Lonchura striata: one gene and its partner. The protein of the gene in region 2 interacts with the protein of the main gene of each other region in a pairwise test. Links are inferred from orthologs where the notes say so. Each region holds a gene or a part of one and is shown on either strand. Other genes may lie near its edges.

Evidence for each region.
Region 1: the proteins of AQP2 (region 2) and ERG28 interact in binary tests that used the Homo sapiens proteins (3 or more experiments, as listed by UniProt). The link is inferred for Lonchura striata from reciprocal best matches to the Homo sapiens genes AQP2 and ERG28.

The regions. Positions count from the first base shown.
Region 1 is NC_134608.1:22,974,410-22,990,675, reverse strand, and holds ERG28 (ergosterol biosynthetic protein 28 homolog), read right to left. Parts: upstream 6,989-16,266; 5' UTR 6,913-6,988; coding exon 6,780-6,912; intron 6,626-6,779; coding exon 6,535-6,625; intron 5,311-6,534; coding exon 5,192-5,310; intron 5,032-5,191; coding exon 4,952-5,031; 3' UTR 4,505-4,951; downstream 1-4,504. Other genes in the region: choline/ethanolamine transporter FLVCR2, read left to right, coding at 2,501-2,551; tubulin polyglutamylase TTLL5, read left to right, coding at 7,857-7,936, 11,675-11,784, 13,563-13,645, 14,417-14,523, 15,095-15,225, 15,787-15,869.
Region 2 is NC_134629.1:4,966,298-4,982,642, reverse strand, and holds AQP2 (aquaporin-2), read right to left. Parts: upstream 7,226-16,345; coding exon 6,860-7,225; intron 4,876-6,859; coding exon 4,711-4,875; intron 4,000-4,710; coding exon 3,919-3,999; intron 3,018-3,918; coding exon 2,802-3,017; downstream 1-2,801. UniProt on the Homo sapiens protein: Forms a water-specific channel that provides the plasma membranes of renal collecting duct with high permeability to water, thereby permitting water to move in the direction of an osmotic gradient. Plays an essential role in renal water homeostasis.

The DNA of each region.
Region 1 (16,266 bases), on a different chromosome or scaffold from region 2:
GGCAGTGCTGGTTAAATGGTTGGACTCGGTGATCTTAAGGGTTTTCTCCAGCCTAAACAATGCTGTGGCTGTTGCAAGGAGAAGACTCAGAGTCAGTTGTGAGCTTCCAGAGCTGTAGAGTTGTGCAGATCTCACTTTCCACTGAAGCATTGTACCATTGGCTGTGTAGCAGTTTGTCTTCTATTGGCGCCCTCATCTGCTATGGTTATAATTAAACAACTGTTGCAGTTAGTAGATTAAATTAGCCTAACGGCATTGTGTACACCTTGTCCTCTATTAATTAAGCTGTAATGTGGTCCCAACAATCCTCCTCACTTTTGTCTGCCTCAGTTCCCAGAGCTCCAGCTGGCTTAGCTTTCTGTATCTCAGGACACTTGGATCAAACACCTGTTTTATGTGATAATGAGGCTCTTTGTGTGCTGCCCTTGTTGTAAATGCATCTGAAGTGTTGTGCCTTAAGATTTCATAGTAGTGTCAGCTGATTCACCACACACATTATACTCATGAATATGCTGTGTACTGCTTGTGATTTGCAGCATCCATGCAAACCTTTTTGTATTGTTTCTTTGCATTAAGAAAAAGCATCTTTGCTGATCTTCCATAGTTTGTTTAGGACAAGTGTCCACCCTCAGTAGCTTACTGGATTCTAGTGAAAGCTGCACCATGCTTAGCCTCTAGTGAAATACTGCCAATAAAAAAAAGCTGGAATTTTGTGTAGTAGGCACAAATAATGTGAACTCATTCTTTGCTTTCCAAAGTGCCCTACTCATTTCTCTGTTTACTGTGTGGTAAGCGGCCTTCTCCTGTACCAAAGCCATAGGCAGGCCATCTGCGTGCCCTTTTCCAGTACTGTGACTCAGCTGTGAGAGCAGCTTTCCTTTCCCAAGGTAGTGGAGCCCTGCAGACTGTCTAGTCTAAATCTCTGCTCCCATAGCTCCACAGCAGATGAGTGGTGCTGAGACCCCAGATGTGCTTGGGAAGCCTGTTCTGAGTTGCTTGAGTGCTTCCATGGTGTATTCTGGTGGAGTTTCTGTAGTCTAAATGCATATTTCCCCTTATTCCTATCTCTGGCACTACTTCAGGCATCCCCTACCCTTCCTGCTTGTTCAAGTTCCCTCTTTGCACTTCCTGGCTTTTGCTTTCAGACATGTCTTTGAAGCTTTCCTTATCTCACTCCTCTGCTTTGGGATATTGCAGCTGACTTCTGCAAAACCTTTTCACCTACAGATTGTGTAAGAGCCTACTCAAAATGAGACTGTTTCATATCTCTTCCTTCCATGCTGCCTGGATTTCTCTTGAACTGCACTGGGGGTGTGAACCTATTTCCTGTGCACCTCTGATTTCTGCCTCAGATGTCAGTCTTGCCTTACAGTGAGTAAACTCAGAGCCCAGGCTGCAGGGGACCTATACACCTTTACAAGTCTGAGTCCTGTCTTCTGAATTGGTGACAGCTGGGCTGTCTCCCTGTAAGGAGAATTAGAACTTGAGAAGTATGCTTTCCAAAAGGGGAAGAAAAAGTCTCAAGTTTAATCCTAATACACTCCAGAAAGGCTCAGAAACTGAGCTTGTCAAACTCCATCTAGGAAAGCTGAACTGGAATTAGAACAGTTTGGCTGTTCCATGAAGCTGAGGATATGGTAGTAATTGGGCAACAATCTCCATTTTCCTTGCTTTTCCTCTGGGGAAAAGCTCCCTCCATCTTAAGGTTCCAAGAAATCAGGCTAGTTCTTCCATATGATTTGTGGAGAAAAAAACTTAGGTATGTTTACCTCTTATTTCTTATGTCTCTTTAAGATATAAGTAGTGAACTTTGAAGAAGGCACCACTCAGTGGAATTATCTCAGCCATAAATCCAAGCTGGGGAAAGGGAAGAAGCAGGACAGAGGGTGCCAGCACTTCAGTGGGCAGTGGGAGTGGGAATGAAAAGATTTGGAAGATGAGCAAGATAAGCAATGTGTCTGGGAGTTGAAGAGGCCTCAAACATGCTGGAGTAAGAACACAGGGGAACTAGTGGTTGTTCTGAGCCTCCTGAGGATGTAAAGAAAGCAAGTTCTCTCTGGTGTTTGCACAGACACCGTGCTGCCTCATGGCATGAAGGAGTTCCCAGCACCTTCCCTCCCCCAGGGAACTAGCCCTGCAACTTCATGCTTTGAGGCTGACCTTGTGTCACAGTCAAATGTTGGTGAGCTGGCTGTGAGTCTGATACCTCCAGTGGTATCAGCCCCGCAGTGAATTCGTAATGGTCTGAGGACTACAGCAAGTAGCTTAAACAGTGGGATGTTGCACTGCCCTGCTGCCCCAGTGCCCCTTCTTGGGCAGTCAGAGTTGGTAGAGAAGGAAGAGGGAACCAGCAGCACTCTCTGAGGATGGTGATTCTTCTTTGGGGATTTCTGTAGTAGCAGGGAGCTATGAACTACCCAGGCTCTGGCCAGCTGATGTCTCTGAAGCCAGGGTCTGGCCAGCCAGGATCCTAACCATATTGTTTTTCTCTGACTTGCAGAAAGTGTTGCCAGAAGCCTATACTATAGTCCTTGAGGAATCACGGCTGTGAAATGAAGGGGTGGCAAAGCTGGGAGATACAGCCCCCCTCATTCCTCTCCTCCTATACCTGCACCATCCTCCTGTCACATGCATGCCACGGGAGGGGAGCAGCCTCAGGACAGAAACCCTGTGAACTGCTTGTGGAGAGTGTTAAAGAGCAAAACAAGAGGGGGGTTGCTTTTGTCAGTTTTGTCCTTGCATCACGCTGTTCTGGTGTTTGGGAGAAGAAGTTGGGAAAATGCTATGCTTCCCCAGCCCTACCATGTATGCTTGGAAAAAGCATATGTGCTGAGAGGAAAAGTCACAGTACCAGGCTAACCCTGAGCATGATGGTGGCACCTTGCATGTGGCTGCGACATGAAAGGCAGAAGCTGGACCACACTTAACTCTGTAAGCATCCCTGGAAAAGCTGGCTCTAGGGAAAAGGGATTGCTCTTCCTTGGTTCCCATGATGCTCTGTGTTGCACAGGTAGTAGTAGAGGTCTCAGTATATTACCAGCAAGTGCAAAGCAGTGCACCAGCTGCTGCCAGCTCTTCTTTTATTATTTGGCTTTCCCAGATGAAGCACTCTTCATCTGGATAAACTTCTACTCGGAATTCAGCATGATTAAGATATAATAATTAAGAGATACTACATGCCTCCTTCTAGCTTGAGGCAAGGACTGGTTCTGAAACCTAAATCTAGCTCATCACTACATTAGCAACAGAAATGAGTCAAACCACTATTTCCCTGGGATGAGGACTGTGTCTTCCTCCTTAACAACAAAGTGCCTTTTGCGTGTTTCAACCTTACACAGAAACTTTTGTGAAGTGTTACATTGAGAAAAGCAGCCAAGGGTGTATTGCTCTTCACAGCCACAGAGAGGGGTATGATGGGAATCCAGCTTTGCTCCAGTGTGGAAGCTTCTCACTTCCTAATAGAGAACAGGAGAAGGTGCCTACTTACCAGCATTTGTGTCTTACAGACACTGCCCATCAGTATGCTGTTTATCTTCCAAACACAACTGTAGATCCTTTTATCACTTCTCCATCCTTTCCAGCATCCCACCCCTGCTGGAGACATCAAGTGTCCTTATATTACTTGAGTCAGGGGACAAAAGCTGTACTGAGGTGGAATGGTTAAAAATATTCATCTCTGACAAACTATTTTTGACAAAACATTTTTAAATGAAATTTTAACATTTTTTGATACAGCCTGAGTTCAGTAAATGCTTACACAATACTCTCAGGCTCATGGTGTGATTCTTACAGGTCCTGTGCAAGGCCAGGAGTTGGACTGTGATCTTGATAAATTTTTTTCAAATTCAGCATATTCTATCATTAAAGTCTTATCTTTGATAGTCTGGGATTGAGGATGGGGTTTTAGAATGATTTCCATAGAAATTCTAATGTAAAATATAAACATTTGAAGTGTACAGTGAAACCTGGCATATTCATATTAAATGATTAAAAAAACAGTCTACATGTGGCTCATTTAATAGCCTGAAATGTTCTACAAAACGGAAAAATCATCTTTCTGCCTAGTGCTACTACTGTGTTCTTTCTCTCTATTTGCTTCCTCTTTCTTCTGCACATCAATTGCCTTCCCAGCTAGGAATTCTTGCTGGGTTTTTTTCTGCATTCTGTGTACTCCCCACTGTTTTGGGCATAATTTGATCTAGGTCTGAGGAACCTGTTCCTGTTTTTTCCATTTTTTGTAGTTATAACTTGCTATACAGTCCTCAGTCCTCACTCACAGATTCATAGTTTGAGTTTGCTGTCACCAGCATGCTGCAGAGAGCGTCAACAACCCTCTTCATGTGTGTTATGTGAGCAGTCAGACCTGGAACTTTGTGGCAAGGAGTCAGGGAAAGGTAGGTTTGCTGTAAAGAGAGATGATGTATTCTGCAACATACAGTGGAAGGTGCTGTTGGCTCTGATCTTCTACCCACTGCTGTGTAGCAGAAAGACAAACATAGCCCACTGCAGTTTTTGGTCATTTATTAGAAATGGCCCCTGGGGAACACACACATGCAAGTTACACGGCAATGCCAGGGGTAGCACCCATTCTCTCTGGTCCAGTGTTCAGCACATCCTGGATAGTTCTTGCATCTTGTCCCCACAAGTACACCGGGACAAAAGTCCTTAGAGCTCTGGGCATGCCAGAGACTTTTGCCTGCTACCCAGGGAGTCAGTCACCAACTGTCTCCCATAAGCTTTGACACAAACTCCACTGGGACTTGGTCTTTGACATCAGTCAGTTGAAATGTTGCCTGGACAAGACAAAAACAACTTGGTAATGACAGTGATTGACACAGTCTGACACTGACCCACCAGCGGGACTGGTGTCCTGGAGAAATTCAGCTGAGCTTTCATGGAAGTCTGGCAGTGAAGGTAGAAGATGACACTGATCCACAAAAAACCCTCAACTTCAGTTTTTCTTCTTGTTTTGTGATAGCGCTTCTACCTCCAGGTATTGCAGTCCAATCAACATCCCCATAATAGAGAAACCTGTGACGGAGATACAGGATGAATTGTGTAGAAAATGCTGGGCAAGAGATGAGGCATCCCCTCCCATCATCCCCACAGCCCATAGTTGCATGAGGAGTTTTTCTGGGCTATCATAGTTCCAAGGAGAGTATGCAGGGGGAGGATGCAGAGCTCTACTTACTTGCTACCATGAGGGGTGCCATAACTCCAATTGTCAAGGCGGCAGTGTGGTAGATGAAGACCTCAGAGAGGAAGTGAGCAAGGGCCAAAAAGAAGGTAAAGAGTGTGATGTGATAGAGGCTGTTGAAGAGCAGAAAAAAGAAGGTTATCATATCATACTATGGGCATGAATATGGCCGAGTAGAAAAAAAGGCAAACCTGCATGCTGCCCCGTCTGCTCTCACTGGCAGCACAGAGGGGACTTTGTCCCTTGCCTCGTGAGGTGCAAAATCTCCCTGGGCAACAGCTGAGAGGAGAACGGGGCAGCATGTTCAATGGCGCACTGGAAGTCACAGGCATTATCTGGCCTGAAGGAAGGTGAAGAGGGGAGAGCACGAGTAGGGCACCAGTGAAATGAAGTATGTGCACACACAAAAAGAAGGTAAGAACTGGATGAGCAGAGAATTAGGGTGACAAGACTTCTCTGATTCAGGCTGCATCACCCAGTGTCTTCCCACTGGTGCTCTGCTACCCTCTATGGGCCACAGCTGTTGAAAAGGGAGCAGGTTCAAGAGATGCAAAATAAAATTCCTCAAAGAAACAACTGATTCTTGATAACTGGCATTGCCATCACCCCCTAGAAACAATATAGTTTAGTCCCTGCGCCTCCCTATCTCAGATAAGCCTAGGCAATCCAAGCACACACTGCCAGGTGAACAGTGACTTCTACTGCAGGGCCGAGGAAAGTACTGACAAAAGCATTTTAGCAACCACCAATAAAGGCTTTGTCTAGCACTGACCTCAAGTCAGCTTGCTTGGAAACCCCTCTGCTAGCACACAGAGAAATGGTGTGTCTCCCACTCAGCATGAGGCTGCTCCTCAGGCCTTGTTGTCAGCCCCAGGTAAGAGTGTAGGGAAGAAAGCAATTGGTTAATACCACTGCAATGGGGCACCTATAACTGTCCTAGTCTTTAGCTGAGCTGTCATAGTAAAAGAAGTACTGAGCATCAGTCACACCACAACATTAGCAATTGCTTAATTAACAGTGCAACAACGCTATTCAGAAAATGCTTTCCAACCTGGAGCTCAGAAATTGGTGACAGTAAGAGGTTCTCGGATCCACCAGTTTCTGACTGAGCTAAGAACAGAATTCAAATGCGCAGGCTGTCCCCACAGAGGAAGAAGGGGGCAGCAGCTACCACACAAATCCCACACTGCTATTTGAGCTTCTTTAAGGGAATGCTGTCAACGCTATAGAAAGTTCAGGAACAGCTTTTGATTCCCCACCTCCTCTGTGCCGCCCCCTAAGCTCAGGCTGTGTCTAGCAAGCAAACCAATGGATTTCTCGGGTGCTGCTTTACATACGTCCTGTTACGGATGTCGATTGCGCAGAGGCAGCGGATCACTGATGACAACAGGGTCCAGACGCCGAAGGTCCGAGCCTGGAGCCCATTCACTGTGTAAAGAAGGAGGGAGCACATGGAGACCACGCAGAGCCCTGCCTGCCACCCCCAGTGTCGCCGGGCCCCAGAGGGGGACTCCGAAGACAGTGCAAGGCCCATGGCTGCAAGGACACCTCCAGGTGCCAGGGCGGCCGGCGCGGCCCTTACCGAGGCCGGGGCTGGCGGTGTACAGCTTCTCAGAGAGGAAGCCGTGATCGCGGAAGCTCTGCAGGGTATTCCCGGCGGCGATGACCGACACCATCACCAGCCAGCTGCGCAGCACGTTCAGGAACCGGCTCATCCTGCCGGCCGGCTCGAACCCGAGCCGCGCCCGCCGGGCCCGGCCGCGTCCCTGCGCGCTCCCGGCGCCGCTCCCGCCCACGCCACCGCCCCGCGCTCCCATTGGTCACTGCGCGCCGCCCCATGCGCGCGCCACGCTACGTAATACCGCCCCCAGCCAATCGGATCCTTCGTCGCGCGGGAATCATGCCCGCCTCGTCCCCGCCCACCTCGCGGGAGCGAGTGAGCGCGCCGGCAGGGGGCGGAGCCAGTGCGCCTGCGCAGTGAGGCGGCGGGGCGGCTGCGCGGCGGGGCGGGGCGCCGCCCGTCGGTTGTTGTAGTAACGGGGAAGCGGCGGGAGGGGCCGGCGCTGCCGTGCGCGCCCGGCCCGGCGCCGCCAGCCGAGCGCGGGCAGGTACGGCTAGCACGGGGACCCGCTGCCTTAGGCGCTCCCCTCCGCTCTTGCTTCTTCTGGGGCCGCCGGAGGTCGCCGTGCTTGGCCTGGCCGGGCCAGGCCGGGCCGTAGCCGCCCCTCCGGGCCGGAGCGCCGCTCCTGCGCCGGTGGAGGCGTTACGGTGTCCGGCTGGCCCCGTGCGGCGGGGCGGTCCTGGCGGGCGTTTCCCGTTGGGCTGGGCCGGCCTGGCGTGGGTCTGCGGCCGAGGCAGGGCGGGGCAGGGACGCGCGTTAGCGGTGAGTGCCCGAGTGGCTCCCACGGGCAGGTGCGGAATGATCTGCTGGAACGGGATGCTGCTTTCTGCACTCTCGTGGCTCCGAGGTGATGTTTGACAGATCACAGATGTTTAACAGACTTGTTGATAGTATTGTAAGAAATATCTACCGGCAGGAAGTGGTAGTTACCTGATACCTCTTGCTGTCCTGCTCAGCTCTTCATTCCTGCTTTTAATCCTTACTGCAGGTAACTGCTCTTGCAACTAGGCCTGGGCTGTATGAGAATTTCCAAAGGAAATGCCAGTTGGGATGGCTAAAGATCTGGAGGAAACTGGCTCATCCTCAGAGGAGGAAGAAGATGCTGTAGATGCACTGGAGTAAGTAGGAAAAGCCTCTGAACTGTTTCTATGTCCTTGTGCTTTCTGGTGGATCTGTAGTAGTTTGAAGAGACAGATGTATTCCTTACCCTCCTGCCTATGAAGTGAAAGATGATTTGTTTCAGCCTTAAACCTATGAGCAGGCTATCTACATCTGCAGCCTAAAAGACCACCACATTCATCCGGGATGGATGTGCAGCTTTTCTTGGCTGTTCTGAAGTCCATATTTTCATGGATTTCTTTCTGTCATGTTCCTAAAATGGGAATGTTTTGATGATACATGTTCCTTTTTTGTTGGGTTGTTTTTTTTTTTTTTTTTGGCATGTGTGGTTTTCTGGGGGCAGATGTTTGTGGTTTTTTTTTTGTTTGGTTGTGGTTTTTTTTAGTTTTTACTGCTGCAGAGATTAGAAATCTGCTGTACAGTAGATTGATATATGATGTTTCATGCCGTTTTTATAAAATTTTTGATTTATAAAAGTCTTTTGATTACTACTAGACTTCATTTTTCTTACAAGTAACAAGTTTTAATATTTATTCCATCTTCGTTTAGTAACTTCTTTTAGCTATGCTTGTGAAGGGATTGCTCTTTTATTCTTTCCCATAGCAGAATCACTTGTTTCACCTGGACCTACTTCACTGTGTCCTGTTAAGGGTTTTTTTGGATGCACATTGTGACTGAGTGCTCAGCTGCTGACTACAGTGACTTAAGACATTTAGAGGAATGTTGCTTCATAGCAAGTGGTTGGCTTAGGTTTGCTGGATCCTCATGGATGGAAAGGTCCAGAACTAGCTTCACCTGGAATGTGACTGTAAGAGTATGTCTGCATCTGGTGACTGGGGGTCATGCTAGGAATGAATGACTGTCACCTGGAGGATTGAGCCTTGCTGCAAATCCCAGGACAGGCTTAGTATAAACTCCTGTCTTGTTGCCTCAGCTCATTTTCCACTTACATAAGGCTCTGGCCTGTAGTGTAAATTCTGGAAGCTTCTTGGGTCCCTTCCAATCTGAATAGGTAATTACACCCCCGTTGTAGGTTTTTTAAAAAAATACTTTGTAGAGGTAGCAGAAGCAGGTAGAAGTGCTGTGAAGTTAATTTGTCTGGATGATAATGGTAGTAGCTTTGTTAAGAGGACCTAGGCTACCCTTAAGAGCCCTTGTCCATGCATCAGGAAGTTGCCCATCTATCTCTGTTCTTTTGTTCTAAGTGTTTGAGGTGTTTTGTCTAGCTTTTCCAAATCTTTGGCAGACAATAATCTTTCATATACAAATGCTTTTGTATATCTCTGACAGTCTTTGTATTTCTTCTTGTTAGTGTAGAGGTGTCTTTCCAGCCCCTCAGTCTCTGTTTTCTGTTAACTTCTTCATGTTTTTAATTTCCTTGTGCAGTGGTAGTAAACAGCCTGAGTTTTATTTGCTTAGGAAGGTTGACAGATTTTCTTTATGTGATCCTAGAATTTGATATAACAGGTCTTAATATTTTTTTTTTGTGTGTCTATAATTTCTCTGAGGAGATTATATTTTCCAGTGAACTCATGTTTTGTACAGAACTGATCACTGTATCTCAGAGCCTGTAGCTTAAGTGGTGCACTGGGGGGCATCGTTCTTGAATTCTGGTCATGCATTCCTCTGTATCTGGCAGGAGTTAAAAGGGAAGAATACACAGCTTTATCTATTGTGTTGAGCCAAGTCTGTTCTAGTCCCTCAAACTCTGCATTATTGCTTTTTTGTGTACTTCTGACTCCAGTCAGCCAGGCTGACTGCACTGATCCGCAGTTCTAAAATTGGAGGCTGGAATCTGCATTGCAAGGTCTGGTTATGTGGATACCAGCAACTGTGGTTTATCATGAATTATAGATCTCATTTTCAGGCTATAAATTCAGAGAACTGTAGCTGTGAAAGCTCATGAGGCCTCTCCTAAATTATACCCATTAAAATAAATACAGAACTAAACAGGATTAAACAGAAATTGGGCTGGCAAGACCAACTCAAAAAGAGGGTGATGTGAAGATTCTCCTTATAGCTGAGTACCAAGGGTGCTGTATTGCATTTGTGTGGCCAGTTTTAGTAGTAGGAGAGCTATGGTGGTGGGTTCTGTGAGAAGTTGCTAGAAGGTCCCTCCATGTCTGACAGAGACAATGCTCCAATATGGACCCACCACTGGTCAAGATGGAGCCCAGGAATGATGGTAGAAACACTACTGTGATAACATATCTATGAAGAGGAAAAAAAAGTTATTGTATGGGGGTAATAGTGCTCAGAAAAGAGAGGAGTGAGAATATGTGACAGGAAGAGCTCTGCAGCCATCGAGGTCAGAGGGCAAGGAGGTGCTCAAGGTGCCAGAGATGGGATTCCCTGCAGTCTGTGGTGAAGACCATGGTGAGGTAGCTGTGCCCCTGCAGTCCCATGAATATCTGTGGGGGTGCAGAGAGCCACCTACAGCTCGTGGAGGAGCTGCACACTGAAGCAAGTGTGTGCTCAAAAGAAGATTGGGATCCCACGGGAAGCCTGTGCAAGAACAGACTCCTGGGAGGGACCTCCAGACCCATGGAGAGAGGGGATCCTACTCTGGAGCAGATTTGCTGACAGGACTTGTAACCCTGTGGGGGACCCATGCTGGAGCAGCCTTTTCTTTAATTACTGCACCCTGGGGAAAGGGATGCATGCTGGAGCAGTTTGTGAAGAGCTGTAGCCTGTGGACAGGATTCACATTGGAGAGGTTTCTGATGGACTGTCTGCTGTGGGAGGGACCCCATGCTGGAGCAGGGTATGGGCTCTCCCTGAGGAGGAAGCAATGGCAGAAAGAGCATGTGATGAACTGGCTGTAACCCCCATTCCATATTTCCCTGCACTGCTGAGGGGAAGGAGGTAGAGATTCAGGAATAAAGTTAAGCCTGGGAAGGAGGGAGGGGTGGGGGGAAGGTGTTTTTAAGATTTGATGTACTTCTCATTATCCTGCTCTGATTTTCATTGGTAGTAAGTTCAATTAATTTCCACAAGTTGAGTCTCTTTTGCCTGTGACTGTAATTGGTGAGTGATCCCTCTCTGCCCATAACTCATGAGTCTTTTGGTAAATTTTTTCTCACCTGTCCAGCTGTGGAAGGGAATGATGGAACAGCTTTGGTGGGTGCCTGGCATCTAGTCAGGGTGCAGTCTGGAACCAGCACAGATGCCTAGCATGTGTGTGTGTTGATTCAGCACAGGTAGGGCTTAGGGACCACCACAAAACTGCATCTTGAATGCAAAGAGTAAATTTCTTTTCGTTACCTTGCTCACTGGGGGATCCCCAAAGCAGCAAGCAGAGGCAGTCATTGTGGAGCTTGGTCCTTGCTAGAGAATCACTGAAGCTGCTGCTCATTTTTTAGGGATTCTTGCAGATGTATTTTACCACTGTGCTTTGACTTTTCCCACCATAGGGCAGGAGTCTCAAGCATGTTTGATAGAGTGCCTTGAAATCTGTTGCAGCGCTGTGCCATCTGACTTCAGATGTTCTACTTGTGAAACACACAAAGACAGCAGTTAGTATGTCACATGTGTTTTTCTACACCCAAGCTGTAAGTCATTTAGGCATGTTTACAGTCCTCCTTACTAATCTTCCACTATTTTCGCCAGCATGTTTGCTTATGTCCTGTCCACAGGCTAGGTGGGTAAGTATGGAGAATTGCTGTGTCATTGTTGTGACTAACTGCTGCATGTATGAGGCTCAGCTGTTGCTTATACTCACTGTCTTGTCATTTCAGGGGTCATCCATGTATCAAGTGGACAGGTGGTGGCTGCAGGCGGGTCCCTGTCTTAGTATTTCATGCTGAAGCCATTCTGGCTAAGGACAGCTACCTCCGTCTAATTGGAGGTGAGTGCTACTCTGTGCCAGCGTTTGGCTTGAAGGCATGAGGTAAAAGTTTCTTACTGATGGTCCCTTCACTTTGTGGTGGAAAGAGGACATAGTAGGAAATTAGAATCCTCTCTAGTCTCTGACCACTGGGACATTCAGAAGTGCTTAATCTGTTGGTGAATGCTTATAATGTCTTTGTGATAGTGTCTGTCCCTCCACTGGGCCCTGATGTGTTTTGAGTTGTAGCTGTCTGCTTGCAAATTGAACTTGGAGGCCATGCTACAACTTAGAACCAGAACACAAATTCGCCCTAGCTAAGACCTTAAAATCAATCATTGCAGTGAGTTTTAAGAGCATTTCACTGGGAAATAAACAGTCAGCCTCGCAGCTGAACAAGAATAAGCTGTAGTGACTAATCCAAGTCTACAGCCTCACAAGCCCTAGAAGGCCATAAACAAAATGGTTCCTGGCAGCACTTGAGTTGGGAGACCAAACCTGTCTAGTGTCAAGTAAGGGAGAGCCTCTAAAGAGGCTGGATTGTTATAAACAGTCACTTCGGATTTGAAAAGTTAGTACTTGTGGGTGTGTACAGCTGGGGGCTTGTTCTGGATGTGCTGAGTTGGAGAAAAGCTGAAATGTATTCAGCTTCCTTTTGTGAAGGTGCTGACACTTCTTTCTTGTCTTGCTTTTTCCTTTCTTAGGTAATTGGAGCTTTTGTTTCTAATATCCTATCCAAGCAGAAATACTTCTGGCTCATTGGGGTAAGGGGTGGAGAAGGTGGTTTATATGTGGAAACTCCTTATTCTTTTCATGTGAGTTACAAGTGTATTTGGATGTTGCCAGAAGCTGATGGTAATTGTAACTTGTGTTTTTACTGCAGCGTGGAGTCTCTTCTGCTTTTTCTCACACGGTTTAAGGAATTTGCTGAATAGAGCAACTTGTTGAATTTCCTCCAGCTTTGTCTTGCTCCTGATTATGATACTTGATTTTTGATTTACTTTTGTTGATAGAACATATTTCCTGAAGTTTTATTTAATTTTCACCCTTTTATTCTCAGTTTGAATACATTTGTAAACTGCCTTTTCTAGGCAGTTCTGTATTCTAGCATTGCAATTTCTTTCGCTACTGTCTTTGAACTCTTTTTTGGATTGCCACGTCCTTTTTTATTACAACTGACTTCTAGTCTTCTTACTTGCTTTTGGTTTATCTTATACCTCCAGGGCTGCCTATTGTCTTTGTTTTTATGACTTTCTACTTCCATAGTGAATTTTTATTTCCTTATGCTATTTACTTTTTCTTACTGTATTTGTTGGAAGATTGGTACAGGTGAATGAGATGTAAACAAAAGTTCAGTACTTTTATTTTGGGTTTTCAGGATCTAAAAAGTGATCACATAAACTAGCCATATCAATGAGATGCATTAGACATGATGACTTTTAGTTAGAAATACCAATATTGAATAGAGAAGAAAGCTGAAATAATTTTTGGAGTGTTATAAAGCAGTCTGTATAATGGAATGTAAAAAAAAAAAAATGTGGGTATTTTTTAGGTTGCCCTGTGCTTTATTTTTATATGATTGGGTTCTGTGATACTACTATATTACAGCTAAGGATTGATGTAAGTCAGTTGAGTGATGCTGATGTTGGCATTTCCTATCTCCCTTTGCCTGTTATATGCTGCTACTCTCTGTGAATTAAGTGCAGCTGTACTGTCTGAGTCCTTTTCTTTGGTAGCATGACTTTGGTTTATTCTTCCAGGTGCAGACTCTAATCCCGTGTCTCTTTGCCTCCTGACAGAGCACTTCCACATGTCCTATAAGATTGTGCGGACAGACAGCCGGCTGGTTCGGAGCATTCTGACTGCCCATGGATTCCATGAGGTGAATGCAACAAAGTTCTGTCTGATTTTGTGCTGGGCAGGGAGGTGATTAAAATGGTTTTGGATTTTTTTGCTGTGGATGTTTTTTTAACTCTGCAGGGTTAGAACCAGGAAGTTGATGTGGAAGTGGCCTCCCTTGAGATTTTTTGTTTTGCCTTTTAATGTACTCTGCTAGTCAGACTGAAAATATGTCATCTTGCTCCATCAAAGGAGAACCCATTAGTCTTAAGCCTTCAAAAATAAGGGAAAATGAATGCTTAAGTTTGGTCATGTGTCTTTTCTTTTTGCTTTTAAAACATCACACCCTTGGGAAGATCTGAAGGATTTAATTTCTCAGCCTTTACAAGCTTTCAGAAGTATTGATGTAGTATTTGACACTTCTCTTCTAGCACCTGTCTTGCTCTAAAGAATGTCCTGTATGCAGCTAATGACAATTTTGAGAGATGTGTAGGGTTGATTTTTTTCAGAATAATAGCAACTTAAGGAATTGATTGACAAGTCTCCTGAAGAGATTTAAACTGATTTACAAACTGTGTTTAAACCAGCTATGAAAAGAAGTCTCACAACGTTTTTTAAAAAATTTGACATGGTTATTTTCCATCATAGGAATACCTTAGAGTAGCAGTTTGGCTGGAGTTGCCATCCTATTAGAGATAGTAGAGGAGACTCTTAGACTAGAGTTGCTTTGGCCTTATAGATCTAGGGACAAAGTGGTGTTGCTTTTCATTAGTTCAGTGTTTTTGTATGTGGTGTTTTTTATGTTGCATTTTAGGTTCACCCTAATAGCAGTGATTATAATCTCATGTGGACAGGATCACACTTGAAGCCCTGCATGCTGCGTTCCCTTACAGATGTTCAGAAAGTCAACCATTTCCCTAGGTAAGACCTTGATACCATGTTTGTTGAACATCATTGTGGTGATTTCCAAAAATCTGAACATAGATAACCCCTGAAAAATAGAGCATATATGGTACTATAAAATCCCAACAGACTGGGCCAGTGCCACTTGCTGTCTTCATTCTTAATGGTCTTTGGAGTTTTTAGGGAATAGTAGATCAATGAAAATGTTGTCTGTAGCCCAAATATTGGATTTAAAATTTTATTTTCTTTATTTGATGATAGATTATTTGTGACTGATATTTTTTAGTTAGAGGGATAGTCCTATGTCCCGAGCTAAAGTTTGTATACCACTGTTATAATCAGTTGATAGCCACCATTATAACAGATTGCTGTGCTTCAGTCTGTCTTGGTAATTGGAAGAAGTGCCACAAACGATATTAATACAGCCATAGGGTAGAGGCAGTAAAACTCAAGAGTCAGTTATGGTTTAGACATCTGACAGGTTAGGGTTTAGACATCTAACAAGGCTACAGATATTCAGTAACTGGGACAAAGGGTTGCTGTAATGTCAGGGAAGAAATAGATGCAGTCTCTTGTTTTGGCACTTCAGGTCATACGAACTGACACGAAAGGACAGACTGTACAAGAATGTCTGCCGAATGCAGGTGACCCATGGGTTCAAGACTTTCCATATCTTACCTCAGACCTTTATCCTCCCGACAGAGTACCAGGACTTCTGCAGTAAGTGAATAGCTGATGATGCCCAGACATAGAACAAAATAATGGGATGTGAGGGGAAGGGAATTATTTTTAATACCCTAGCCTTTTGATCATGTCAGTGGTTAAGGTAACAAAATTAGAGGAAGCTGGGAAGACAGTAGGAAAGGTCCGCATGATTTCATTATGTAATTTCTACTCTGCTGTTTACTCCATGCCTGTGTAAGTTTTCAAAAAGCTGATGTGGGGTTAAGACACTAAAATGGAGTTTTTATGTGCACAGTGTTCTTGATGATCAGCTTCACAATCACTGTCTAATGCCTGGGAGTACTGAAGTGAGAAGTACCAAAAGGAGGCATAGGGCAGAAGAATGAATCTGTCAGAGCACCATGGGGGGCTTCAGGGAGGGGCTGTAATAATTGCAGTGATTCCGAAGGTGTGAAATAACACATTGAAAGAGCAGACTTTGATCTCCTTGTGGAGTTCTCTAAAGCATTTACTGTAAGCAACATTCTTGATTCTTGTTCCCCTCCTAATGAGCAAAATGGACAATGTTGCAGACTTGTGCTGTTTTCTTTTAACCAGATACCTATTCTAAGGACAGAGGCCCGTGGATAGTGAAACCTGTGGCCTCTTCCAGAGGTCGAGGTGTCTACCTGATAAATAACGTAAGTGCTCACTAAAAGGACTGTTCTTCAGTAACGATGTCTTCAGAACTATGTTGGCTTCCAGGCAAGAGGCATGGAGGCATTTAACTGGACACTACCTTACTCTCAATTTCAGACATATATTGGTGAGCAATTCAACAATCCTGAGCAGCTTGGAAGGCCTGCCTGGGCCTGTGCTGTGTAACCAAAAGCAGTCTCTTTTTATGCTGTGCTCATCTTGCAATCTACCTTCAAGTCTTAGCTTATTAGGAGCAAGTTTGTATTCCCTGAGACAGTTTGGGAAGCTGTGCTGCTTTATGCTCTCTTTGTGGCTGACAGTAGGCTGACCTTGTGGAGATTTCCAGAACTGCCCTTAGTTGTTTCCCTGTGTGACCTAAACCATCCTCAAACAGACCCC
Region 2 (16,345 bases):
GGGCAGGGGTGGGGTCCCATCCCTGGGGGGATTTCAGAGCTGTGGCACTTGGGGACATGGTCAGGGAAATGCTTGGGCTGAATGGTCTCCAAAGCATTTTCCAGCCTAAACAATTCCATGGTTCCAGGAATATGGCAGCCAAGCAGCAAGGGCAAGGAAGGGGATGTGGGTGTGTGCAAAATGCTCTGGCATTTTTACAGCTCTGCAGAAGGATCAGCCCAAAGCTGAGGCACCCCCGACCCCAAGGTGGGAGAAGGGGAAAACCTCGTCATCTTGGGGGTGGAAGGACACGGGAATGCTTCAAATCCTGGCTCTGACATCCCAAGTGTTGCCAGTTTAGGGAGGATTATGGTTGGTCCATGGAGCTCCAGGGTCCTGATCCTGCCCTCCAATTCCATCTCCCCTGGAGCAGTCTGGAATGTCTGGGTGGTTTCCTGACAGGGCAAGTTTGGGAAGTGTCACAGGTCCACAGGGAAGTGAATTTGTACTCCTGGGAAGACTGGGGCTGCTTCAGCTACCTGCTTGAGGAGTTTGGGGTCTGGGAGTGACTTTATATCTATTATTTACCATAAATAATATATATAAATATAATATAATGTCAGTGTTTTCCATAAATATGTCAGTATTTGATCCCTATTTCTGAATTCAGGCAGTAAAAGGGAATTTAAAGCACTTAATGGGGAAGAGGAGAGCCATTATCAGACATTAAACCTCAGGTTCAGGTCCTGTGAGACTTAAACATTGTCAGGGTAAATAATAAATGAAATGCTTCGATCTGGAGAAGAGACATTGAACACACTAACATTAATTTAAATAAATAACTTAATTCAGCTGTGGCTTTTTCTACAGCAGAACATGCCCAGGGTGACTTCTGGAAAAGTCTGCTGGGATTTTCCTGCACACAAACATGGATTAATTTTCCTTTAAAAAGCATCAAAAGCCCCACGTGACTTTTAAAAGTGATCATTTGCTAACAGAAATACGATTTTGATACTGGTATTGATGTAAAACATGATTTTATTGCCATTGCTGAGAACAGAGGGATTTTTTTGAGAAGCCTCTTCTGAGCCAAAATTCAAATTCACCATCAAGGAGCAAAGGGAAGCAGAATCCCTGTTTTCGGGAGGATCAAACCAGGGCTGGAAGTGCCTTGGCAAAGCCTCTGGGGCTGTTTGCAGGGATTGGCTGTGGGTGAACACACCACACCAGGTCTGGGCCAGATCAAAGCTGGGCTCCCTCCTCACCCCTCCAGCAACAGCCACTGCAGCACCTGAGGAAGAGCACGGGGAGGAAGGCAAGGATGGATCTGATGGGAGGAGGGGGTGGTGCCAGTGGAGCAGAGTGAAGAGCATCCCGTGGTGGGGGGTGTCCTGCCAGAAGAGGGGAATGGAAATTTCCATTCTGGGAACGATCCATAAATCATCCCTTATGATTTGGAATTGGGCCCCATCTCATTGAATATTCCCATAACAGCCTTTCCAAGGAAATCCTGCTGGGGCTGATATCGGTGGGGCAATGCTGGAGACCCTGCTGGGATTCACTCTGGGATTGCAGAATCTGGGGCAGAGCAAGTGAAATGGGGTTAAATCAATGGCTGAAAGAGCAAAGTTCACCCAAAGGCCAGCCCAAATTCCTTTTCCAGGCTGAGGACCATGACCAGGTCCTGAGAGGGCAGAGGGAAGGGGTGGGAGGGGTTTGGAGGGTCTGGAGTGATGCAGCCACGAGAAAGGGATGTGAGAAGCAAGTGATGGAGATGAGAAGGAATTCCTCCCTGTGAGGGTGGGAAGGTGCTGGAATGGAATTCCCAGAGTAGCTGTGGCTGCCCCTGGATCCCTGGAAGTGCCTAAGGCCAAGTCGGATGGGATTTGGAGCAGCCTGGGATAGTGGGAGGTGTCCCTGCCCACGGCAGGGGTGGGACTGGGTGGGGTCTGAGGTCCCTTCCATCCAACCTATTCCATGATTCTGATTCTTCACACCTGGAGCACGCTGGGTGTGAAATCTTTCCTTTGTGTGTTCCAGGTGATCTGAGCGTCAAGGGGATCTGAGGGGAACAAGACCAGACGAAAGAAGGGAAAACCGGGGAGAGAGAGGAAGGACAACCAGGACAACCCTGGCCCAACAATAAGGTGGGTATAAGTTTGGGCTGTAACCTGGGTTTGCTGTTTCACAGGAGAGACAATTTGCACGTGCACCCCAGTGGGGCCTGCAGGGACTCATGGCCATGCTCCCAGTCCCATCTTCCCGGGAAATCCCCTGTGGGAGCACCTCTGTGTCCCGTGGCGGGTGGGAAATGGCACTTTGGTCCCTTTCACAGCAGAACCTGTCATGTGTGACACTCATGGCTCAGTGCTCCTGCTCCTGCTCCTGCATGTGAGCCAAGAGCCGAGCGGGGACCCGAGACGGGAGCAGAGCGCAGCAGCAATGAGGCATCGGGTGGCAACCTCCACACCCAGGGTAATGAACACTCCTCAGGCTCCTCGGAGCTCTCTGGGAGGGAGCAGCCTCAGCCAAGCTCCGTGTCCTGCGAGGGGGACGTGGAAGAGGGCATCCTGGGGAGCTCCCTTGTTCCTGCGGGGTCGGGATTTACTGGCTGTCCCCCAGAGCAGAAACCCCCCGGGCATGGGCAGAGCTGGGGACAGGAGGTGGGTGGGACAGCACAGCATCTCCCCGGGAGAGGAGTCAACTTCAGTGCCCCAGGAGAAACGAAGGGACAGAGGAGAGGGGTGAGATGCTCCTCTGGACGAGCACTGGAGCCATGCCAGAGGTTTCCAGCTCCTCTCTCGGCCCAGGGAGAGGTTTGGCTACACCTTCTCAGACATCCCCCTGGGCAGGGTCTGGGGAGAGTGCAGCTCCACGGACTGGCGCCGCCGGGCCTCGCGCTCGGCCCAGTCCTGCTCGGGCTCGCAGCCCTTGAGGATGGCCAAGCGCTCCGAGAAGGTTTTGGCCTGCGGGAACAGGACGTAGTTGTAGAGGATGGAAGCTGCTGCAGCCCCAATCAGGGGACCTACCCAGAACACCTGGAGAGGAGAGAAAAGTGGGGTGAGCAAAACCCAGCCTGACTTTGGAAGAACTGGGATCTCCGAGGGGCATTCCAGGGGCTTGGGTTCCTTCCTGGGAACAAAACACGAACTCAGCTCTGCTTTGGCCATCGCTGGGGATCTGAGCTCCCCACCACTGCCGGGATATTCCAAACCGTCCTCTTCTACCATTCCCCCTCTGCTCAGACTGCATTAACGACAGGCCCATTGTGAACGTGCTGAGTGATGTGGCATCATCTGGAGGAGCATTTTCCTACCCACTCATGGGTTGCTGTTGGAGGAGGAGCAGGAAGAGGAGGAGGTGGAGGCACTGCCTGGGCCAGACACCTTGGAACACATCAGGAACCACCTTCTGCCTCCAGCCAGGCTCTTTATAGATGAAACCAATGAAATCATGGAATCTCCTGAGCTGGAAAGGACCCACAAGGATCCTCAAAATCCAGCTTCTGGCCCTGCTCAGGAAAGCCACCACCAACCCCACCCTGTGCCTGAGAGCACTGCCAAAATGCTCCTGGAGCTCCGGCAGGCTCAGAGCCATGACCATTCCCTGGGGAGCCAGGGGTTGTTCCCAAAGGCGTACCTAGATCCAGGAACCAGGAAAGTTCCCCAGGACTGGCAGCAGCTCCACTCTCCATTGCTTTTGTTCCCTGTGCTAAGTCACGTCAACAGACCTTACACCCTGATCCTGTTGCAATGCTCCCAGTTTGGAAAAGCCAATTAAACACCCAGCAGCCCCACCTCTTTCTCCTAATCTCTCCTTCTCTCCTCCAGCTGGGAGCTGGCATGGAAATGCCTGGAATTTGTCTGGCTTGCTGAGTTTCAAGGAATATTGGCAGTTTGGGGGACTCATCCAACACAACTCCCAGAGCCGAATTCTCACCCAGTGGTCGCTGAAGTCTCCAACGACGACCGCAGGGGCGAAGGACCTGGCGGGATTCATGGAGCAGCCGGTGTAGCGGATCTGCCGGGAACACCATGGCTGCTGTCAGCTTAAGCCCTTTTGCCTCATTTGTAAAAAATTTGGGGTGTCATTAGGGTGACAGCTGAGCTGCTGCTTCACCCTTCAGCATTCCTGTTCCGGGAAAAGGGATCCCAGGAGCTGCCACCACCTGAGTCAGCACTGTGAGGTGTTGCTGTGCTGCAGCCCCAGGAGCTGTGGGGATGAGCTCCCAGTCCTGCAGAAAATTCCCTCTCGTGCCTCTGAGGACAGGAGAGGAAGGGTCCCATGGATGCAGGGGCTCGTGGAGCGCTGAGGATGGAAGGTGTGGTGAGACCAGCAGCGCTTTCCCGCGTGCACTGGGAGTGGGGCTGCTTTGGGCCGTCACGCAGGTGGGATTCCCCCGAGCATCCATCCCAAACACTTCCCAGGCTCATCCTGCACTTGAGAGCCCCAGCGGCCAACTCGTTCGCTCCAGGAGAGATCCCACAGATCCCTGGAACTCCCCATGGGACTCAAGGAGAGGCAGGGTCCAGAAAATCAAGTTTTTCATGCCAAATAAAGGCTGAGCTCAGGCCATAGCTCCCCCATGGCTTTGGTGGGATTTTTCCCTCTCTCTACTGGAAAACCACGGGTTTCATATTCCCTGCCAAGCCTGGAGATGCAGCCAAACCAACTTGGGGCATAAACCAAAAAAGAACCCCAAAAATGCCAAGTTTTGGCCTATCCACTCACCCCGAGGAGGTGCCCCACAGCCACAGAGAGGCCAATGGAGAGGGCAGGGGAGCCCAGGTTGTCCTCACGCCGCTCGTCTGTGGAAGCAAAGATGCACAGGACCAGCTGGAAGGTGAGGAACAGCTCCACCGTCACCGCCTGCCCCGTCGTGGTCTCATTGTGCAGCTGGAATGGGAGGAAAAACATGTTCCAAGGCTGAGTTCTGTGAGTGGATGGGAAATATGGAGGAGGAATCCAAAATCAGGGGGAGCCAAAGGAGACAGGGGAGATTTTTGGCACCAATAAGAAAATACTTCCCAGGTAGAAGTGGCTCAATGGGAAATGCTTGATTGACCTCTCAGGATATTTTATTGGTAATTTTTTTGTATTTTTCTTTTTTTTTTTCTTTTCCTCCTACTCGAAATGCCTTTTGGAAAAGTTTACAAGTTGCATTTTGAAGACATTGAAAATAAATATTTTTGCATGAGAAAAAAAAAAAAATTCCCTTTGCACACTTTTTTGACTCAGAGAATTTGTCAGGTCTGATCTGGGGCTGATCCTAGTGGCACCCCCTCTCCTCCAACTCAGTCCCTTCTTTCCCCGTGTCCCCCAAATCTAATCCCATTGCTTGGCGGTCCCAGGAAGGTCCTGCCCCAGCTCCAGAGTCAGATCTTCCTCATTCTCCTGCCCAGTATTCCCCTCCCTTTTTACAGGGGTAATCTGTGCAGGCAGCCACACGATGAACAGCTCACAGGGGATAAAAGCCTGCTCAAAATCCCCGGTTCCCACTTTTGGGTGGTTTAAGCTGTAAACCAACAAAGCTGAGCAGTCTGAGTCTCCCTTAAACCTCCCGCTTTTATTACCCTCAGTCATTACCAGTCTAAATCGCTTCATTCAGAGTAAACCACAAATCCCTCTTTTTAACCCTCTTAATCACTCTGGCAGCGCAGCTGAGTCCTGGCAGTGCCTCCCTGCTGTGGGAAAGGTGATTTCCATGTGCTGCTTCCCAACCCAGCTCCCTTGGGGTTGGGTGATGCTGATCCTGGCAGGTGCCTGTGCCCCGCTGGGGTGGGACAGTGAATCCCTGGGTTTCAATTCCTTTTCCCCCTCCTGTGGGGAAGGGGGTGTTGGAGGCCAGGATACCATTGGAGAATCCCCCATGGCTTCCTAAGCTTCCCTGGCTTTATTTTTTTCCTTGTCTGAAACCAGCCTGAGGTCCTTGTGAAGCTCTGGGGAATCCATGTATTGGGTTTTGGGATGAACCAGCTGGATTTGGTGCGATCATTCCTCCACGGTGGGAGGCAACAAGCTGAATCTAATGAAAATCTGGGATGTAGACCCAAATCCCTCCTCTGCCCACCACTTCAGCAACCTGGGAACTGTGGCTTGGCCAAAACAGAGCCAGGGAAAGGCTGCATGTACCCCCACCAGAGGGGAAATTGCACGAGCCTGGGACAGAGGAATGCAGAGGTGGTGTTTTGGATGTCTCCTTCCTTAAACCCCTGGGAGCCCCAGAATCCAAGTCCCCTGAGTACAGTCCTGGGGAAAAATGAGAAATGAGATGGTTGTGACTCCAAGGGGTGTGTCTGTGACCAGATGGATCCTTCCTCTGGCTTTAGCCCCAAACACAGGAGATGTTTTTGGCACCAATATGAAAAGAGCAAAAATTTCCCAGGTGGAAGAAGTGGCTCAGTGGGAAATAGCTGATGGACCTCAGGAAATTTTAGCCCTAAAACTAGAGGAGGAAGATGAGTCCTGCCTTCATCCCTGCTCCTGGCAGCACTGTTGGAGCAGCAGGGTCCAGCAGGTACTGAGCTGTGGCATTCAGAGGCTTCCTCACCTGGAATTCTGGGAATTTTTCAGGAATTTTGGGAATTCTGGGATCCCTGGCAGGAGATTTTGGGGAGCTGAGGGGGTTTTTAGGGATTTTTTGGGTGGATTTGGAATGAAATTCCCACAGAATACCCCCGATTTTGGGCCTCTCCCGGTTGTCTGAGGAAAATTCCCAGTGGGAATTTTAGGGAATTCCGGGATCCCCAGCTGGAGGTTTCGGGGCAGCTGAGGGGGTTTCTGGGGCTGGCCACAAGCCCCTTCCTCCCACCCCTCGGGTTCCCAAAGACCCTGCCCGTGTCCCCCCGCCTGCCAAGCCCACCCGGCGCCGCAGGCTGACCTTGTTGAGGGCCAGCCCCTCGCGGGCGTCGGGCGGCGTGACCTCGTGCAGGATGGCAGCGCCCACCACGCCGCCCAGCAGCTGCGCCGCCACGTAGAAGAGGGCGCGGAGCAGGGAGAGCTGCGAGCCCAGCAGGCAGCCCAGGGTCACGGCGGGGTTGATGTGGGCGCCGCTGACGTGGCCCAGGGCCTGCACCAGCGTCCCGATGGCCAAGCCGAAGGCCAGCGCGATCTGCAGGGTGCTCGGGGCCGGCGCCGAGGGCCAGTTCAGGGCAGAGCCGAGGCCGAAGAGGACGAAGACCAAAGTGGCCAGGAATTCCGCAAGGACGGCCCTGGTGAAGGCGATGGAGCGCAGTTCCCACATCATGGAGGCTCCTGGGAACGATCCTGCCCACAGCGTCCTCAGTGCCCACCTCCTGCTGTGTCCCTGAGGGTCACCCGGGACAACATTTATATACCTGGAGGCGGGAGGGCCACAGGATCAGCTGCTGAAGGGGATGGGATCATGGTCCTGGGAAATATGATGCTTTTTTCCTTCTGTGTTCCAGCTGAGGGCACATCAGATCCTGCCCCGTCTATGAGAGCCGGGGAATGCGGCGCTCGCCGCCCTGGGGAGGTCGCAGATCAGCCTCCAGCAGTGCTGGCAAGGACTGCTCCTTTTCTCCTGGGCTTCCTTACCTGGGATCGATCCCCAGAGCTGCTCTTGCAGCTGGGAACATGCAAAGGGCAGGAAGCAATGGGGGATCTGCAGAGCTGGAGCTGAGCTCAGGTTGTGCTGAAAATCAGTCAGTGGGCTGTGATTTAACAACCAGAAAAATCCAGGAACGTGGAGGGATTCCTGGGGGTGTCCTGTGCGGGGACAGGAGTTGGATTCAATGATCCTTGAGGGTGCCTTCCAACCAAGGATGTTCCATGATTCCATGAAAAGTGAGTGCAAGGGAGGCACAAAAGGGGTTCACTACAGCTCAGCTGCTCATAGCACCAGAATTTTACAGCCTGGGCACAGATTTCCTACCCAGAAAATTGGGAATCAATCCCAAAGCAGACTGTCAGAAATTCCCATGTGAAAATGTGACCCCAGGACTGGAGCACCAACTGTGCCCCAATTATGGCCATTTTGGCCAACTCTGCTCTTCATAAACATCCTTTTAGTTCTCGGTGTCAATCCCAGAGTGAGAATTTCTTTTCTGGGGTTTGATTCTTCCCATCTGCTCCTTGCCCAAGAAGTTTCTTTTCCCTTTTCTCCATTTCCCATTCCTGAAGGATATCTGCAAAACCTTTTCCTCGCCTTGTCATTGGGGTTGGTGGCTTTACTGGAAATTGAGGAGCTGGTTTTTCCTCTCCAGGGCCAGCTCTGAGGTGTGATCACTCCTCCAGCTGTAGCTGGAAGGACCGTTTTATCCCAGAGGGATACAGAGCCCCAGGACCAAGTGTCCACGTTTGGGCTCTAACAAAGGCTCTTGCTCTACAATAAACTGAGTATTTTTCCCTTCCAGAGGAGTTGTGCAAGTGCCATGGGGCTAATGGCAAATGTTCCACATTGGTGGGATTATATCATGGAATGATGGGGTATCCCAGGAGCTCCCAGGTGGAGCAGAGGATGGACATATGTCCCTTCCAATGGAACCGTTGTTCTCGTCTTCCTCCTTCTCCCTTCTTGTCTCCCTTCCTTCCTCCTCCACTTTCCCCTTCTCATTTTCTTTCTCCTCCTCTCTTTTTTTCCCTTTCCCCTTCTTTTCTCCCTTCCTCCTTCCCCTCTCCCTCTCCCTCTCCCTCTCCCTCTCCCTCTCCCTCTCCCTCTTTTTTTCTCTAAACAATGGTTTTAGGGAACATGGCTCTTAACAAGTGAGGGACTGTGGGAAAAACAAGTCCAGCCCATGGCTGAGTCTGAACAAGGTGGGACTGTGGTCTAATAAAACCTTTTCCTCTGAAAATCCTCCCCTTGGACTGTGTCCCGCCCCAGCATCTCTCCAGACAGAGCTTTTCCAGCAGTGGAGTCAGTCTCGTAAAACAGGCTTGGAGGCTAAAGGGATTTGGGTGCTGCTGAGCACCACGATCACGGTCCTGGCCAGGCTCGTGCTCCACATGCCTGGCACAGGGCTCAGCCCTTCTCAGGGCAGGAGTTACTCAGGGCTGCAATTACTGCAGGGAGGATGGAGATCAAATCTGGGTAATTACTGGAGCTCATACCCTGCCTGATTAGTGGTTACTCGTGAGGAGCGTGGGGATATCTCAGTGCTCAGGACTAATTAAAAAGAAGAAGTCAGCAGGATTAGTTCTGAGCAACTTAGAAGTCCAACCCCATGGTCCTGACTTTTGTCTGGAAATGCAAAACTCATGGCAGCTTGTTTGTACTGAGCTTGGAGATGCTGGTGCTGAAACTGGAGATGTTTGTTTTGAGCTTGGAGCTGTCTGTGCCATGGGGGAGGGTTCCTGTGGTGCTGGACTGTGGGGAAAGGGTCAGAGCTGCATTTCGAGACTGGCTGTCATGGTGTCAATGGCATTTGCTGGGAGATGGTGTTTTCCAGCAAGAACAGCCCATCCCAGCTTTCCCCAGAGACCCCCAGCACTGTAATTCCACTGGTTTTACAGAGGAATCCATCCACTGCACAAAAGCAGATCCTGCTGACTCCAGACACTGAGCCAGTGGCAGAGCCAAGGTTTCCTGGCTGTGCCACAGTTGGGCACTACCCCAGAAAAATGGGAGATGCCACAAGCTGGAGGGTTGGGAATGGGCTGTTGAATCTGTTCTGTCTAGGAGGGGGTCCTGGAGCTACTGGAGATGATGGAAATGTGGCTTTCCACCTCACCCCAGGTGTGCTGCTGCTTTGGGAGCAGCCAGGAGCATTCCAGCCCTGGAGGGAGTCCAACGAGTTTGGGAAAGTGCATTATTTTACCTGTTAGCCCCAGCCCCTGGAGTGTGACGGTGTTATCAGCCCTCCCTGGGACCAAGTGCAAATTTAATGATCTTGGAGGAGCAGGTTGGCATCTGCAGAAGGTTGGAACCCATGTGGGTGCCTCATGCTGGTGCCCTGTGTTGGAGCCCCACGTTGATGTCTTATGTTCGGAGCCGCATGTTTGCAACACCATGTGGATGCCCTGTGCTGGTGCCTCATGTTTAAACCCTGTGTTGGTCCCTCATCTTCATGTCCTGTGTTGGAACCCCATGTTTGGAACCCTGCATTTGTGTCCCATGTTGGTGCCCCATGTTGGTGCCATGTTTGGAACCCCATGTTTGGAACCCTGTATTTGTGCCCTGTGTTGGTGCCCATGTTTGGAACCCCATGTTAGTGCCCGTGTTCCAGCCCATGGATTCCTTGTGTTCATGTTCCACATTGGAACTCCATGCTGGAACATCATGTTTGGAACCCCTTGATGGTGCCCTGTGTGGATCCCTGAGCTGGTGCCTCATGGTGGTGCTTGTGTTGGTGCTTCATGTTGGAACCCTGTGTTTGGAACCCCGTGCTGGTGTCCAGTGTTTGGAGCCCTGTGTGGGTGCCCATATTTGGAACTCTGTCTTTGTAATGGTCTGTTGGTACCCTCTGTTTGAACCCCATGTTGGTGCCTCATGTTTGGAGCCTCATTTTGGTGTCTCATGTTGGAACCCTGTGTTGGAACCCCATGTGGGTTCGCTGTGTTTGGAAGCCCATGACTGGAACTCTGTGTTGGCGTACCATGCTGCATCGCCGTGTTTGGAACCCCATGCTGGTGCCTCCGGCTGGTGCCCCATGCTGGTGCCCAGTGTTTGGAGCCCCATGTTGGTGGCTCATGTTTGGAACCCCGTGTTTGGAGCCCTGCGTTGGTTCCCTGTATTTGAGCCCCATGTTGGTGTCTGTGTTTAGAACCCACTGTTTGGAGCCCGATGTTGATGGCCTGTGTTTGGAACCCCATGTTTGGAGCCCTTTGTGGGTTCCTTGTGTTTGGAATCTGGTGATGTCCATGTTTGAATCCTGTGCTGGTGTCTGTGTTTGGAACCCCGTGTTTGAGCCCTTTGTGGGTTGCCTGTGTTTGGAATCTGGTGTTGGTGTCTGTGTTTGAGCCCCGTGTTGGTGTCCGTGTTTGGAATCCTGTGTTTAAGCCCTGTGTTTGGAGCCCTGTGTACTGAACCCTGTGTTTGAGCCCTGTGTTTGAGCCCCATGTTTGGAACCCCTTGTTGATGCCCTGTGTTGGTGTTTGGATCCCCATGTTGGTGTCCATGTTTGAGCCCTGTGTTTGAGCCCCATGTTTGGAACCCCTTGTTGATGCCCTGTGTTGGTGTTTGGATCCCCATGTTGGTGTCCATGTTTGAGCTCCAAGTTTGGAGCCCTGTGTTTGGAACCCCGTCTTTGAGCCCCGTGTTGGTGTCCTTGTTTGGAGCCCTGTGTTTGGAACCCCGTGTTTGAGTCCCATGTTGGTGTCCATGTTTGAGCCCCATGTTTGGAGCCCTGTGTTTGGAACCCTGTGTTTGGGACCCCGTGTTTGAGTCCCATGTTGGTGTCCATGTTTGAGGCCCATGTTTGGAGCCCTGTGTTTGGAACCCTGTGTTTGGAACCCCGTGTTTGAGTCCCATGTTGGTGTCCATGTTTGAGCCCCATGTTTGGAACCCTGTGTTTGGAACCCCATGTTTGAGCCCCATGTTGGTGTCTCTGTTTGGAACCCCATGTTTGGAGCCCTGTGTTTGGAACCCCGTGTTTGAGCCCCATGTTGGTGTCTCTGTTTGGAACCCCATGTTTGGAGCCCTGTGTTTGGAGCCCTTTGTGGGTTTTCTGTGTTTAGAATCTGGTGTTGGTGTCCATGTTTGGGTTCTGTGTTGATGTCTGTGTTTAAGCCCTGTGTTTGGAACCCCATGTTTGAGCCCCATGTTTGGAGCCCTGTGTTTGGAATCCCATGTTTGAGCCCCGTGTTGGTGTCCATATTTGAGCCCCATGTTTGGAGCCCTGTGTTTGGGACCCCGTGTTGGTGTCCATGTGTGAACCCCATGTTTGGAGCCCTGTGTTTGGAGCCCTGTGTTTGGAGCCCTGTGTTTGGGACCCCGTGTTTGAGCCCCGTGTTGGTGTCTGTGTTTGGAACCCCATGTTTGGAGTCCTGTGTTTGGAATCCCATGTTTGGAACCCCGTGTTTGAGCCCCGTGTTGGTGTCCATGTTTGGAGCCCTGTGTTTGGAACCCCACGTTTGAGCCCCGTGTTGGTGTCCATGTGTGAACCCCATGTTTGGAGCCCTGTGTTTGGAGCCCTTTGTGGGTTTTCTGTGTTTAGAATCTGGTGTTGGTGTCCATGTTTGAGTCCTGTGTTGATGTCCGTGTTTAAGCCCTGTGTTTAGAACCCCATGTTTGAGCCCCATGTTTGGAGCTCTGTGTTTGGAATCCCGTGTTTGAGCCTCTTGTTGGTGTCCATGTTTGGAGCCCTGTGTTTGGAATCCCATGTTTGAGCCCCGTGTTTGAGCCCCGTGTTGGTGTCCTTGTTTGGAGCCCTGTGTTTGGAATCCCACGTTTGAGCCCCGTGTTGGTGTCCATGTGTGAACCCCATGTTTGGAGCCCTGTGTTTGGAACCCTGTGTTTGGAATCCCATGTTTGAGCCCCGTGTTGGTGTCCATGTGTGAACCCCATGTTTGGAGCCCTGTGTTTGGAACCCTGTGTTTGGAATCCCATGTTTGAGCCCCGTGTTGGTGTCTGTGTTTGGAACCCCATGTTTGGAGCCCTGTGTTTGGAACCCTGTGTTTGAGCCTCTTGTTGGTGTCCATGATTGGAGCCCTGTGTTTGGAGCCCTGTGTTTGGAATCCCACGTTTGAGCCCCGTGTTGGTGTCTGTGTTTGGAACCCTGTGTTTGAGCCTCTTGTTGGTGTCCATGTTTGGAGCCCTGTGTTTGGAGCCCTGTGTTTGGAATCCCATGTTTGAGCCCCATGCTGGTGCAGCAGGAAAGGTCCCGGTGCCACGTTTCCAAGGTGCCGTATTTTGAAGAACGTTTTGCAAGCAGGGAACGGTTCTTGCACAACCAGGAGCTCCTCCAGTGCTTTAGATGGCCCTGATATCTCTGCTCCCCTGGCTTCCAGGAAAGTATAAACATCCTGAGGTATCTCCATTCCATCTGAAATACCTCGGAGCCACAAAAACACTTATTGCATAAACAAAGCACATTTTCCTGCTTGGATCCGACCTGTCACAGGAGTCCCATGCGCTACCCAGACCCTGCTGGAAATCCCATTTTTTGCTCTTTTCTGGGAGCAGGGAGCACCTGCAGGCGACTCCCACTCCTCTAAAATAGCCTATGGGACAACCTGAACTGCTGCTTCCCATGGCAGCAAACGTCCTTTTCACTGGACACTGGAGAATCCACCACTGGAATAAGGCTTAGGAGAAAATTTTGTACAAACTTGAATGGTTTTGGTTCTGTTGTTCCTTGAAATGCAAGATTTCTGTCTCACAAAGAAGGGGAAAAACTGAAATGTGTAAAACTGGAATAGGTAAAACTGGAATGGGCAAAACTGAAATCCTGTCTTGGAGAGTTCTTCAAAAGCAGCCTTTAAAAGAAAAAAGTTAAATTTTTGTATTGTGACAAATGCTGTTCTTGGTTGAGGTTCTCTGTTGGCAGCTTGGAAGAAGGATGTGCCTGAGCATTTGGTGCCACCCTGCTCCCCAGCAGAGTGTGGGGAATGGCAGCCGTGGGCTTGGGAAGCAGATGGAATGAAGGAATGGACTCACCTGTCTTGGGACCAGCAGGGGCAGAAACCCTTGGCCTGGCTTCCATCCGGGAATTGGAGCAGCAGCAGCAGTTGGGCTCCAGGGATCTTTGCACCCTGGAAGTCCTGATCGTGGTAGGATCCCCAGACAGGAGGGGCTGTGGGCTGTGAGTGGGGGTCCCTCAGCAGGGACAGGGCCAAACAGGACCCTCACTGTGGGAGGGAGTCTCTGCTGGGTTTTTCCAGGATTTGGCTCCTGTTGCCTGATTCCAGACTGGTTTGGGTTGGAAAGGGTATTAAAAACCATTGAATTCCAACCCTCTGCCATGGGCAGGAACACGTCCCACTATCCCAGGCTGCTCCAAGCCCTGTCCAGCCTGGCCTTGGCCACTGCCAGGGATGGGGCAGCCACAGCTGCTCTGGGAAACACATCCCAGGGTCTCCCCACCCTCACAGGGAGAATTCCATCCCAATCTCCCATCCAGCCCTGCCCTCTGGCAGTGGGAAGCCATTCCCTGTGTCCTGTCCCTCCATCCCTTGTCCCAAGCCCCTCTCCAGCAGGGAGCTGTGGCAGTGAGAGAGGGGTTTAAGGTCCCTTTTGGTGACCATCAGGAGAAGGGATTTTCTCCCACTGCCGAAGGACATTCACCCAGGGGAGCAAAGTAGGGAAAAATCCCCACCTTCTCTGCCTTTCAGGCCGAGTCCTAAATCCCTTTTTGCACAGAGCTTCTGTTGGCTCTGGCTATGTTTGTTGTTCCTTAGGGAGGCACATGGATTATTGCAGCCCCGATTCCCTCCAGTGCCTCCCAAAGGGACCTTGGGTGCGGGCCAGGAGCAGAACCCGCCTGAGAGGCTTTGCTGGGTTTCTTTATCCCATCTCAAGGACTTGCAAGTTCAGTCCTGAATGTTTGGCTGGGCTTTAGTGGAAGCAGACAGCAAGACTGGTGCTGCCAGAGCCAGGCTGTGGATCCTGCTGGGATCAGACATTGCCATGGGTGTGGAGACCACGGAGCCTTTTGGCCCAGCAGGAATCATGGAACAGTTTGGGTTGGAAAGCACTTTAAAGCCATCCTGTCCCACCCCTGCCATGGCAGAGACACTTCCCGCTATCCCAGGTTGCTCCAAGCCCCATCCAACTTGACCTTGGACACTTCCAGAGATAAGACAGCCACAACTTCTCTGGGATTTGGCCATTCCCAACATCCCATGACATGAGAGATGGAAGCTGGGACCTCCCTTCAGTCCCACCTAAGGGATGGCAGAGAGGAGAACATTCTTCCCATGTTTGGGTGCTGAAGTTCAGGCCAGGGCACATAAACATTTACAGGAAAATAATGAATGCTTTTCTCTCCAATCCATGAAACAACTCCAGCCAGACTCCAGGACACCCAGCAAGGAGCAGATTCCCAAGTGATGGAGCCCCCATGGCCCTGCTGGGTGCCTGGCAGGAATGTGATGTCGGTGAGGAGCAGGGAGGGTGGGACACGACCCTGGTGACAGAGCCGGGCAGGAGAGCTCGGCTGGGCTGCACAGGGGTTTGATTGCACAAACAAACTCCTCAGAGAGCCCCAGTGCTGCGGGTGGGACTGGGGAGTGGCTGTGACACGGTGCAGTGACACCGAGCAGTGACACGGAGCAGTGCCACAGGGCAGTGCCACGGGCAGTGCCAGGCTGAGCTCAGCTTTCCTCATTCTATGTAAATCTCAGTAATCCGGGGCCATGGGCTGGAAGGGAATGAGCTCTGGAAGAGGCCAGCTCCAGGTGATCCCCGAGTTAAAAAAGAAAATGAAAACCAGTGTTAGACACTGCTGGGAATTGGTCCTGGTGGTGGCTCTAGGAATGATGTCCTGTGTCCCCTGACACCTGCAGCCTCTTTTCCCTGTCCCCTCCAGCCTTGGGGGTCCAAGGTTCTCATTCTCATTCCCTGTCCCCTCCTGTCCTGTCCCCTGCACATTATCCCTGTGCTAGTGCCTTTCCTGGGGAGCTGCTCCTGGTGAGGAGGTGCAGGGATGGGCAGGGAAAGAAGAGGGTTATTTCCAGAAATCCCTCTAAAAACCAGCTGGGATTGAGGCAGAAAGAAAAAGGTTTTTGGCTTCTCTCACCTGAGCCCAAGGTCAGTCCATGGCCCTTGTAGCAGGGCAGGGAACTTTGGGGTCCACAGGGATAAAAAGCAAGGATACTTTTCAGGCTGAGATGCAGCAGTCAGAGGAAGCCGGAGGAAACGTTGGACTGCACCAAATACCTCCTGGCCTTTACATGAAACATTTTCAAATAAATTCCTGAGCAAGAAGCTGCTCCTGCCTCTGCTTTGGGGGAGTGTGGAACTGGGAGCTGGGGGTGGAGCTGGGATCTGCATGTGGAGCCAGGATCTGGATATGGAGCTGGGATCTAGGTGTGGAGTTGGAATCTAGGTGTTGGAATTGAGATCTGTGTGTGGATTTGGGGCTGGAATCTCAGTATGGAGCTGAGGTCTTTGCATAGAGCTAGGATCTGGGCACTGAGCTGGGATCTGGGCACTGAGCTGGGATCTGAACTTGGATCTGGGCACTGAGCTGGGATCTGGGCACTGAGCTGGGATCTGGTTACTGAGCTGGGATCTGGGCACGGAGCTGGGATCTGGGCATTGAGGTGGGATCTGAGCACGGAGCTGGGATCTGGGCATTGAGGTGGGATCTGGGCACTGAGCTGGGATCTGGGCACAGAGCTGGGATCTGGGCACAGAGCTGGGATCTGGGCACGGAGCTGGGATCTGAGCACTGAGCTGGGATCTGAGCACTGAGCTGGGATCTGGGCACGGAGCTGGGATCTGGGCACGGAGCTGGGATCTGAGCAC